2 linked regions of the Caenorhabditis elegans genome follow. The protein of the gene in region 2 purifies or fractionates together with the protein of the main gene of each other region. This does not show direct contact. Each region holds a gene or a part of one and is shown on either strand. Other genes may lie near its edges.

What was found.
Region 1: the proteins of mdt-28 (region 2) and mdt-30 purify together in Caenorhabditis elegans (affinity purification with western blotting, with the first as the bait; one study listed by BioGRID). This does not show direct contact.

What each region holds. Positions count from the first base shown.
Region 1 is NC_003281.10:8,024,588-8,030,079, forward strand, and holds mdt-30 (Glutamine/asparagine-rich protein mdt-30), read right to left. Parts: upstream 3,456-5,492; 5' UTR 3,451-3,455; coding exon 3,270-3,450; intron 2,927-3,269; coding exon 2,767-2,926; intron 2,366-2,766; coding exon 2,140-2,365; intron 1,991-2,139; coding exon 1,796-1,990; intron 1,507-1,795; coding exon 1,373-1,506; intron 1,327-1,372; coding exon 1,204-1,326; intron 1,156-1,203; coding exon 1,016-1,155; intron 964-1,015; coding exon 852-963; intron 806-851; coding exon 676-805; 3' UTR 598-675; downstream 1-597. Other genes in the region: F44B9.2 (uncharacterized protein), read left to right, coding at 1-2, 138-245, 300-397, 448-540; F44B9.8 (putative replication factor C subunit 5), read right to left, coding at 3,728-4,361, 4,422-4,562, 4,615-4,789, 4,840-4,945, 5,012-5,062; F44B9.9 (uncharacterized protein), read right to left, coding at 5,318-5,373, 5,421-5,492.
Region 2 is NC_003283.11:15,573,390-15,577,098, forward strand, and holds mdt-28 (Coiled-coil domain-containing protein mdt-28), read right to left. Parts: upstream 2,017-3,709; 5' UTR 2,008-2,016; coding exon 1,950-2,007; intron 1,686-1,949; coding exon 1,357-1,685; intron 1,054-1,356; coding exon 832-1,053; 3' UTR 754-831; downstream 1-753. Other genes in the region: fbxa-94 (F-box domain-containing protein), read left to right, coding at 1-462, 514-717; atx-3 (Ataxin-3 homolog), read right to left, coding at 2,293-2,777, 2,923-3,077, 3,128-3,273, 3,322-3,489. UniProt on the Caenorhabditis elegans protein: Plays a role in normal growth and development.

The sequences.
Region 1 (5,492 bases), on a different chromosome or scaffold from region 2:
AGGTAGGCCCTTTCATATGTTTAGAGTTTATTATTTAACCAAGCAGCCCAGATAATGCAGAACATAATTTTAAATATTTATCAACAGCGGCTCAACAACAAGCCCTTGTGACGAGAAATAAAACTAGTAATTTCTAGGCCGTCGAAATTATGTTCTACTGGTTTCTGTACGGGAATCTCGAATTGTAGATAGAAAGCGAATGGCAATTTGTGAACGTCCTGGAGCTTTGGCAAAGGATGAAGCTGGTAAAATTTTCTGGATCATCATTTTTCGGAAATGTACAATTTTGACATTTTTAGGTCGCCTATTCGTATCTAATCGGTTCTCTGCAAGTATCCAGTTAGTTGACACAATGCGTTGGGTATCAGAGAAAAATGTGGCCATTACTGAAGCTTTTGTGAGTTGTAAAAGTTTATCCAAATTCATTTTTCTGAAAATGTTTTCCAGGTCCGCCATTTCACAGCATGTTGGGGACTTTTGGCAATTCCATTGAAAAATGCAGTTCGTCTCCAGAGATATTCTTTCCGTTCCCTTCGATAAACTCCTTAATTTTTAATCATATTTTTTTCAATTTGCCCTGTTTGTAAAAATAAAAACTTCACAACTTCAATCAATTTTACATGACATTTTAAGAAGATAAATTAATGAATTAAAAAAATAATTATATATTGTCTACTAGACTTGATCATCGGTTTTCTTTTTAGAAATCTTCGTCTGATCCACTTTCTTCAAATGTCCCGGACTGGTAACATCGATTTTCCATGCCAACGCTTTCAGTTCAGCCGCCAAGTTTTTAACGATTTCTCTGGAAGTTAGAGAGGATTTGAAATTACAAAAAATTATGTACTCACTTATTTGCCTCAAACTGCATATATTTCTTGTGAAGCTCTTCGGAAATCCATTTTCCCTGATACCATATATGTCCTTCTACTGGTGGTGTTTTAGAGATTACAATCGCGAATCCTGGAAAATTATTCAAATTGTTGTAACTTTGAAAAGTAAGAGAGAAAATTACTTTGCTCCAGCTCTGCTCTTCTTTTCTGTCGTTCTTCATCCATCGGTTTTTTCAATTCTGAGTCATCAAGCATCAATTCAATGTAGTCTTCACCAGTCATTCGTTTCCATGTGGGTTCACGGCGTTTTTCAATTATTTGTCTGAAAAAAAAGATAATTATGACTGGAATAGGTACAATATCAACTAACCGAATGTCACTCATTCTCTGCAAAGCGTTTTTACACTGATCAGCCAAATCATTCGGATTTTCTCCTTGATTCAATGGCTTCCGTTCCATTACTTTTTTGAGTATCGTTGATAAATATGATGTTCTGCAAATAATGTATCAAATGATATATCTTATGATTAATTACTTACTTGACATTGAGATCATTAACCAACTCTCTTCCATATAAACACAATTCTCCCGTTGAATACTTTTCTAAATTAGTTTCTTTTTGCGGCGACTCACGGATGTGTGATTGTGGTTCTGTTTGCTGAGCCATCGTCTCCTGAAATAAGATAATAAAATTCTAACACTAAATAAATGTGCACAGAGTGAATGCTCGACTTCATTCAATAACTTGCACACTACAGAACAAAATGGTCTATAATTTGTATTCAAAGCGTGTTTTGGTGGAAAATTGCATGTTGTGGGGGATAAAATTCGACTTTGAAGTAGTTTCCACGGAACAAAATAAATTTAATAAAATTTAATATAGACTCAAACTAATTTCAGAAGATTAAATACAATATTTTTTTAATCAAATTCGTATTTATCAAATGATTATTTCCACAAACCTGGGCTCTTTGCTGTGAAGAAGCAGATGTTTGTTGTGGTGGATGACCAGTTTGTGGTGGAATTGAAACTGTTGGTGGATTCGCAAAGGCTTGTTCGGCTTGAAGTTGTCCAGCTCTGTTTTGTTGTTGTTGCTGATGTTGTTGAAGCATGTACTCTTGCTGTTGTTGTTGCCGTGCAGCCAGTTCTTGCTCCTGCTGTTAAACGATTTTAGATATTTCGATTCAGAATTTAGATTCTTAAATTTCTGAACAAAACTATGGCGTGATCAGAAAAATTATTAAATTCAAAAATCATAAAATTAAGCTCTTGCTGTCAGAATTAAATTTCAAGTTTTATAACTCACCAATTGAGCATTTCTTGCTTCATTATCCGGTCTCCGAGCAATTGTTTGAGTTGGTGCAGCATGAGGATTAGTGGCTGTAGAATACGTTGTTGGTTGTTGAAGAAGTTGACTGAGATGGGATTGTTGTTGTGGCGGAGCTGGTGGAAGTGGAGCAGAAGAAAGATGTTGAGCAAGAAGAGAAGTTGTCGGATGATGCATTGGTGGAGACGAGAAATCGGGCATGTTTCTGAATATAAACAGTTATGAATGTTTTCTAAATAAATTTTTTTTGCCAGATTCCAGAATCCCTGAAGCGAAACTCTGTGATTTTTGCAAAAAAAATACGGTACTCGGTCTTGGCACGACACATTTTTGTTAAATGAGGAAATATGTGTGCGAAGAATTGTAAAAAAAAGTGTTCAAATTTTTTTAAAAATAAACTAATATATTTTTATTTCAAATTTTGAACTTTGAAAAATTGAGGAAAATTCGGCAGAAATTAGTTTGAAACTACAGTATTCTTTGAAGGCGCACTACTTTTAATATTTACAAAAATTGTCGTGTCTGTGGAGACCTGGTACTATATTTTTGGAGTAAAAAAGTAAAATTTCGTGTTTGGGAAATTATGGAAAAATTGCTGAAACTTACGGATCCATCATTGGAGGCATTCCTTGTGGCATTCCAGGTGGCATCCCATGCATCGGTGGATATCCATATGGATGACTTGAAGGAGGCATCCCAGGCATTCCGGATGGTCCTGCTTGCATTCCGTATCGATTTTCTTGACTCCACATTGGTTCTTGTTTTACTGAATATGCTTCAGGGGATTAGAAAATGTTCTTTTTTTTTTATGGGGAAGGAGATTTGGACTTATTTATATTATGGGATTAGGAGAATGTAAATCTGACTTTGTAAGTGTTTTCTGTGATCCGATCTAACGGAAAGCTTTGCAAAAATGTGGATAATCTATATCTTCAAAGGTTTAGCTTCAAATAAATATAATAATCAAGAAAAACTTGAAAAATGTTTTTCAGGCGCGATTTGCACATTTTATTTCAATTATTTTAAATGCAAATATCAAAATTGCAGCTGTTGGGTGAAATTCCACAAGAGGAATTATTTTTGCATGATATTTCCAGCTAAAGCCTCACTTTGAATTCCCATAAACGGTGGTGGACCGCCTGGAGGCCCCGGTTGAGGATATTGAGGAGACTGTGGAATGTATGGCATCGGCATTCCAGCTTGATACATTGGATAATATGGTGTAGGTGGAAATGGTGGAGGTTGATTTGGGTTGCCAGGCGGGTAATTTGGGGGTTGATTCGGATTCATTGGTGCTGAAGTTTTGGAATTTCATAATTGTTCCGTTTCTGATTCTGATATTGAGAGAGCGATAACTTACTCCACAGTAAAATTAAAATGTAGTAATCAAGTTGCAACCAGTTTATTGGATATTCATACATGTAAGTGTAAAGTCAACTTTTTCACAGATCGAGGATAATAAATGAGGTCACTTAAAAAATATAAAAATATACTGAGAGATCAAACAATTTACTCATTTCGTGAAAAATAGGAATCACCGAGACAGCCAAAGGAGAATAGAATACTCTTAAAATTCCATGTCTTCAATTTCCAAGTTCTTCATCTCTTTCACACACAAACGTTTTGCCTCGAAAAAAGCTGCAACAACAGCTGCAAGCTGTGTTTCATTAGAACATCCAGTTGACAAATTCTCCTCAACTTCTCCTAATCCAGTGATAATAGCTGACATTGCTTCATCTGGGATGTCCAAAGTGAATACAAAATCGTGGAGATGAGTGATGACATCTTGAAGGGCATATCCGTTCTCGAACAATTTCGTTTGAATTGTATTCATACATTTTTTCGATGGATCATTCAGTAGAGTCTTCACAACTTCTTTCATTTCTTTCGGTGTCGGCTGTCCAATACACTGGTAAACTGTATTTTCTGAAACTGTATCGAAACTCATTGCAGTACTTTGAAGTGTGTTGATGACAGTTCTCATGTCACCTTTTGAAACAATCAAAAGTGCATCTTTTCCATCTGGAGTCATTTTCAGTTGTTCCGTCTCCACAATGTATTCCAACCGGGGAACAATCAGTTTTTGATCTAAGGGAGCGAATCGGAAACGAGTACAACGGGATTGAATAGCTGGAACGATTGATGCCAAGTAGTTGCAGATGATGCAGAAACGAACGTTGTCCGTGTACTTTTCAATCACTCTGAAATAAATATTTACATTGTGGATGATTATATTTTGTTCATAATCAGTTTTATCTAACCTTCTCAATGCATTCTGAGCATCCTTTGTCATAGCATCAGCCTCGTCAAGAATCACAAGCTTAAACGGCACAGTGCCTGTGTTGGAAGATGTCGAAAATGCTTGAAGTCCTTTTGTTTGTGCGAAGTTTACGATGGTGTTTCTGAAAATTGCTATAAATTTAAAAACGCCTGATCAATAGTTTATCTATTTACCTCACAACATCAATTCCACGTTCATCTGAAGCGTTCAATTCCAATACCATTGACGCCATTTTCGTCGGGGAATACATTTGTCGCGCTGCTGCTAACACCGTCGTCGTTTTTCCAGTTCCAGGTGGTCCGTAGAAAAGAAGATGAGGCAATGTGCGGTTTTCAATAAATTTCGTCACTAAAATGTCTCGAAGTTAAAATAAAATTTGAAAATTGGAAATAACTCACAAGTTTTTACAATCTGCTCGTGTGCGACAAGTTCGTCCAACTTGCTTGGACGATATTTCTCCACCCATGGCAAATTTGAAGCTGTTGTTGTAGTCATTTTGGTTAGCTAAAATTCAAGAATTAAATTAAAATAATCAAAACGCAGCAAAAATAAAAAAAGGGAATAACAAACATTCAAAAATTGCAGAGAATGTTCTTCTCGAGAACCGGTTCTAGAGCCCATCGCGACATTCGCGGCAAAAATGTTCTCCGAGAGGATTTCACGAGGCTGTCCACTGGTCGCGGCGAGACCCATTCAGTTTACTTTTGGCAGAACCTTTGAAGAATTTTGACATTTTATATATATATATATATATGAGAAGCTTCACTCTTGATGGCAAAGCACATGTAATTTTGCAAAATTTTGGAATAAAAAACGGAGGAAAAAAGTTGAAAAAATAATTTTATTGACATCAATCAATATTCATAGGTGGAGGAGCTAGCTGGGCAAGTTGTTCGAGTTCTTGGAGAGACGCATATTCCGATGATCCAGGGCTGAAAAAGCAAATAGGAATACAAATAAAATAAAAACGGAAACTTACAATTGTGTGACTTCATCTGGAGGAGGAACATTTTCATTGCAAAGTTTGGATTTTTCATGATTGAAATGCTTA
Region 2 (3,709 bases):
AAGACAATCAAAAACGGACATTATTTGAAGCTGGCTTCTACCGACTTCAAGATGATTATCAATAATCCGAAACTTCATTTGGAATCTTTCGAAGTTGTTTTGGGCCCGGATTTCGAGGGAGTCGATCGAAAGAAAACTTCAGAGATCATCCGAATTATGTTGAAATCCGTGAAAAAAGTGGACGTTGGAAAGCTCACAATCACTGGATTCATCCATGAGGAGATCCCAATGATTCTTCAATACTTTGGAAGTGATAATATTCAAGATCTGAAGATCGACGATCACATTTGCTTCGACCATATTGGAAAAGTCGTCGAGTCGAATCACTGGAAGAAGGCAAAATCCATTCATTTCATCTGGAAAAGCTGTCTTTGCCCAGTTTTCATGCATCTCACACACTTTAGTGATATTCAGATCCACATGAAAAATGTTTCCGTGCATGATGCAAACCGTATCATTCAGGTAATCTGTGCTCGGAACAGCAATTTACCTACTTATTTTACCAATTTTCAGCTTCTCCAAATCTCTGCCAACTTCAAATCGCTTAACATCACAACATGTTGCGTACAGGATTTTCTTCTTGTCGTTAAAGTTCTCCAACCAAATTTCATCCAAAGAGTTTTTGGCAGTGGCTCTACCGACTTTGCCATCAACGGCAAGAAATTCCATGTCGAGTTTGATCTGAACAACATCAAGATCGAAAAGAAAATTCGCTAATTTTCCGGTTATATTATTATATTGTTGGTTATAAACTTGTTGAGTTATACATTTAGATTTAGATTCGAGAAAAAAGTAGCAAAAATATACAAAAATAGCAAGGTAAAAAATAAATTAAGTGGTAAAATGTTTCCCAGCATTTGGATGTGCCTCATTGTAGATCTGAATCCGAGAGTTCAACATTTCTCTGGCGGCTGCGATGATAGTCTCCTGCCGTTCGATAGCTTCATCCAGGTTCTCCTCTTCAATCGCATATTGTGAATATGGTTGTTCCATTTCCCATTGAACACCGAGACGCGTGAACTCGTTATTCACATCGACAGAGGCATCGCGGAACTGAAACAATTAAGGATTTAAGTTTTTTTTTTGAAAATTGGAAATTGGAATTTTTTTTTGAAAATTACTAAAATGAGCTCCAAATTTCAAATTTTTGAATGAGAATCCTCCAAATTTCTCTAACATTTTGAATGGTAGACTCGAAAAGTAAATAGAAAATTCAAGTATTTTTATTTTTTATTTCAAAAATCAAAAATGGAAAAAAATGTTTAGAGAATTACCAATAAAACTTTGATAAATTGGTTTTTTTTAGGTAAAAAAGCTTCGAATTTTTCAGATTTTTTCCAGAATCCCACCACGTACATGTTTACTGCAGACTTCTGCGACTTCCTTAACATGATTAAGTGTTGATGGTGGTGGAACGGGCGCTTTAACCGATACATTCGTCAGCAGCTGACACCAATGCATCATAAGCGAATCGATTGCGTCGCCCAGATAAGTTGGCTCGATCGGCTCTTCGTCATCCTCGTTCGTTGAGCCGGCTCCATCATTTCTCATTCGTCTTTCGTCGTTTTCAATGGATCCATCAGCGGCTCCTTGTGGAACACTATTCGAGTATTCGTCGTCTGGAAGATCCGGAGCATCGCCGAGAATATCGTCAATGTCCTCACCGCCGCCGCCGAATTCTGGAACTATTAGATTTTGTAAAATATTTTTATTATTTCGGCTCAAGGGTGCCATCAAATAATTTTTTAAAGTTTTTTTTTTCAGAGAAAATCGGGAAAAAATGATCAGAAAATTAACAAAAAAATTCAATTTTTATCAAATTTTGTATTAAAATAGCTTAAGATATTGCCATTTTCTTCTTTTGAGTAAAAAAACTGGGAAATCCTACTCCTCGTGGAGCACTAGCTTAAGCTCGAATTCGAAAAATTTCTTGAATTTTCAAAAATCACCATTCATTGGCATTTCCTGTTCTTCTCCGCCGTCCTCTGCATCCAATTCCTCGAACATTTTCAATCTAAAAAAAATGATTATTTTTTCCAAAAACTCTAAAATTGAAGGTAGTAATACTCATGGAATGCCAGAATAACTTTGAAAAGGGCAACAAAATTCAGAAAAAAAGGAGATTTCATCTAATTCTAAATAATATATCACATAGTCTGAAAGCGGTTCATACATAAGCACCAAGTATTTGGGGATACAAGTATCGGGAGAAATGAATAATCGAATTATACAGGAAAAGCCGAGAATATATTCACATAATAGAATTCAAATAATAAATTTACGATTAAATCGTTATTTTTCATCGTTCCTCTCTTCTTTCTTCTTTTCGAATCGCTCCAAAAACTTTTGTCGATCTCTGCGCTGTTGTTCGGCATTTGAAAAAGGTTCTGAAGCTCCTGGCGGCGTCGAAGATCGAGAACGAGTCAATAGCGGTATCTCAGCCGGTTCTGATGGTCCTGGAGCCTGGCTCAGCTCAATCGCCTTTCTGAGATTTTCTTCATCGATTTCAGCGGAACTTCGAGACACTTCAGAGCCATCCTTTGTTTCCATAGACATTGCAAAAGCTATCGCCAAATCTTTTTCTTCTTGAGAATCCGGAGGAGCACCGCTTCCACCGCCAAGTCGTTTTCCGACGGTATTGAAGAATTTTGTCATGACTTTCTCCAGCTTCTGCTCCTTTTTCGGTGTAACTTTTGGCGGTACAACTGGGCATAGCGAGATGAGATCGTCTGCATCGGATCTTGGCAAAACTCCCTGCACCACGAAGATTGAATAACCTGAAAATTGATAAATTAAAATAATTTTCGATTTTTGGAACTTTTTTTCAGAAAAAAAAATCAACGCTACAGCTTGTAGTTTAGGGATAAATAAAAATCTGGCTCTAATTATCAAAATTTAGCTTCAAAATTCATGAATTTATACCTTCCGACGACACTTGATGCAAGAACATGCTAACATAAGTGTCAGAGAGCAATTTGGGCCCACGGTTCACCGAATTCAGCTCGAACCATTGATTTCCGAATTTTCGGAGCACAAACCAGTGCTCTCTGAGGTTGCATATGTAAGCACGGGCGGTTCTGAATTGGAAATTATGAAATTTTTTTGTAAATTATATGGTAACTCGTACAAGGGATTATTTTTATAGTCCACCATCGCAGGATTTTCGATATTTGTGAGCTTGAGGCTAAATGTTTCAAGTGCTTTCTCCAAAACTTGAATTGAAAAGTAGCCGCTTTCGTTCATGTTCTCACTTCGTCCCGGAGTTGGGTTTGCCTGAAAAATCAAGAATTTCAATTAAAATTTTTTCGTATTTTCCATTACATTTCCCAGAATTTGTTGTTCCATTTTATCCATCTGAATGGCCAAGTCTCGGAGATCTTGCCACTTGTACAGAGCATCTTGTAGGAGCATATTCAGCGCGTGTTGAGCACAAAGAGCAGCTTCCTGGTGCTCGAAGAAGATGGAGTTGATCGGATCGTCTTTTGACATTTTTTGGAGCTGGAAAAATTTGGATTAGGGAAACGAATGGAGAAAATAAATAAAACACCTCAAATTTTGGAGAAGAAAACTTGGAAATAGTTTTATTTTTTCGATTTCACAATAATATTCCTCATGCTGAATGCCAAAATCGATATTTTTTGTAAGACGGATAGGTTTAAAAAAAAAATTGAGATTTTATAGGAAAATTCGCGAAGAATTGTTAACAAGC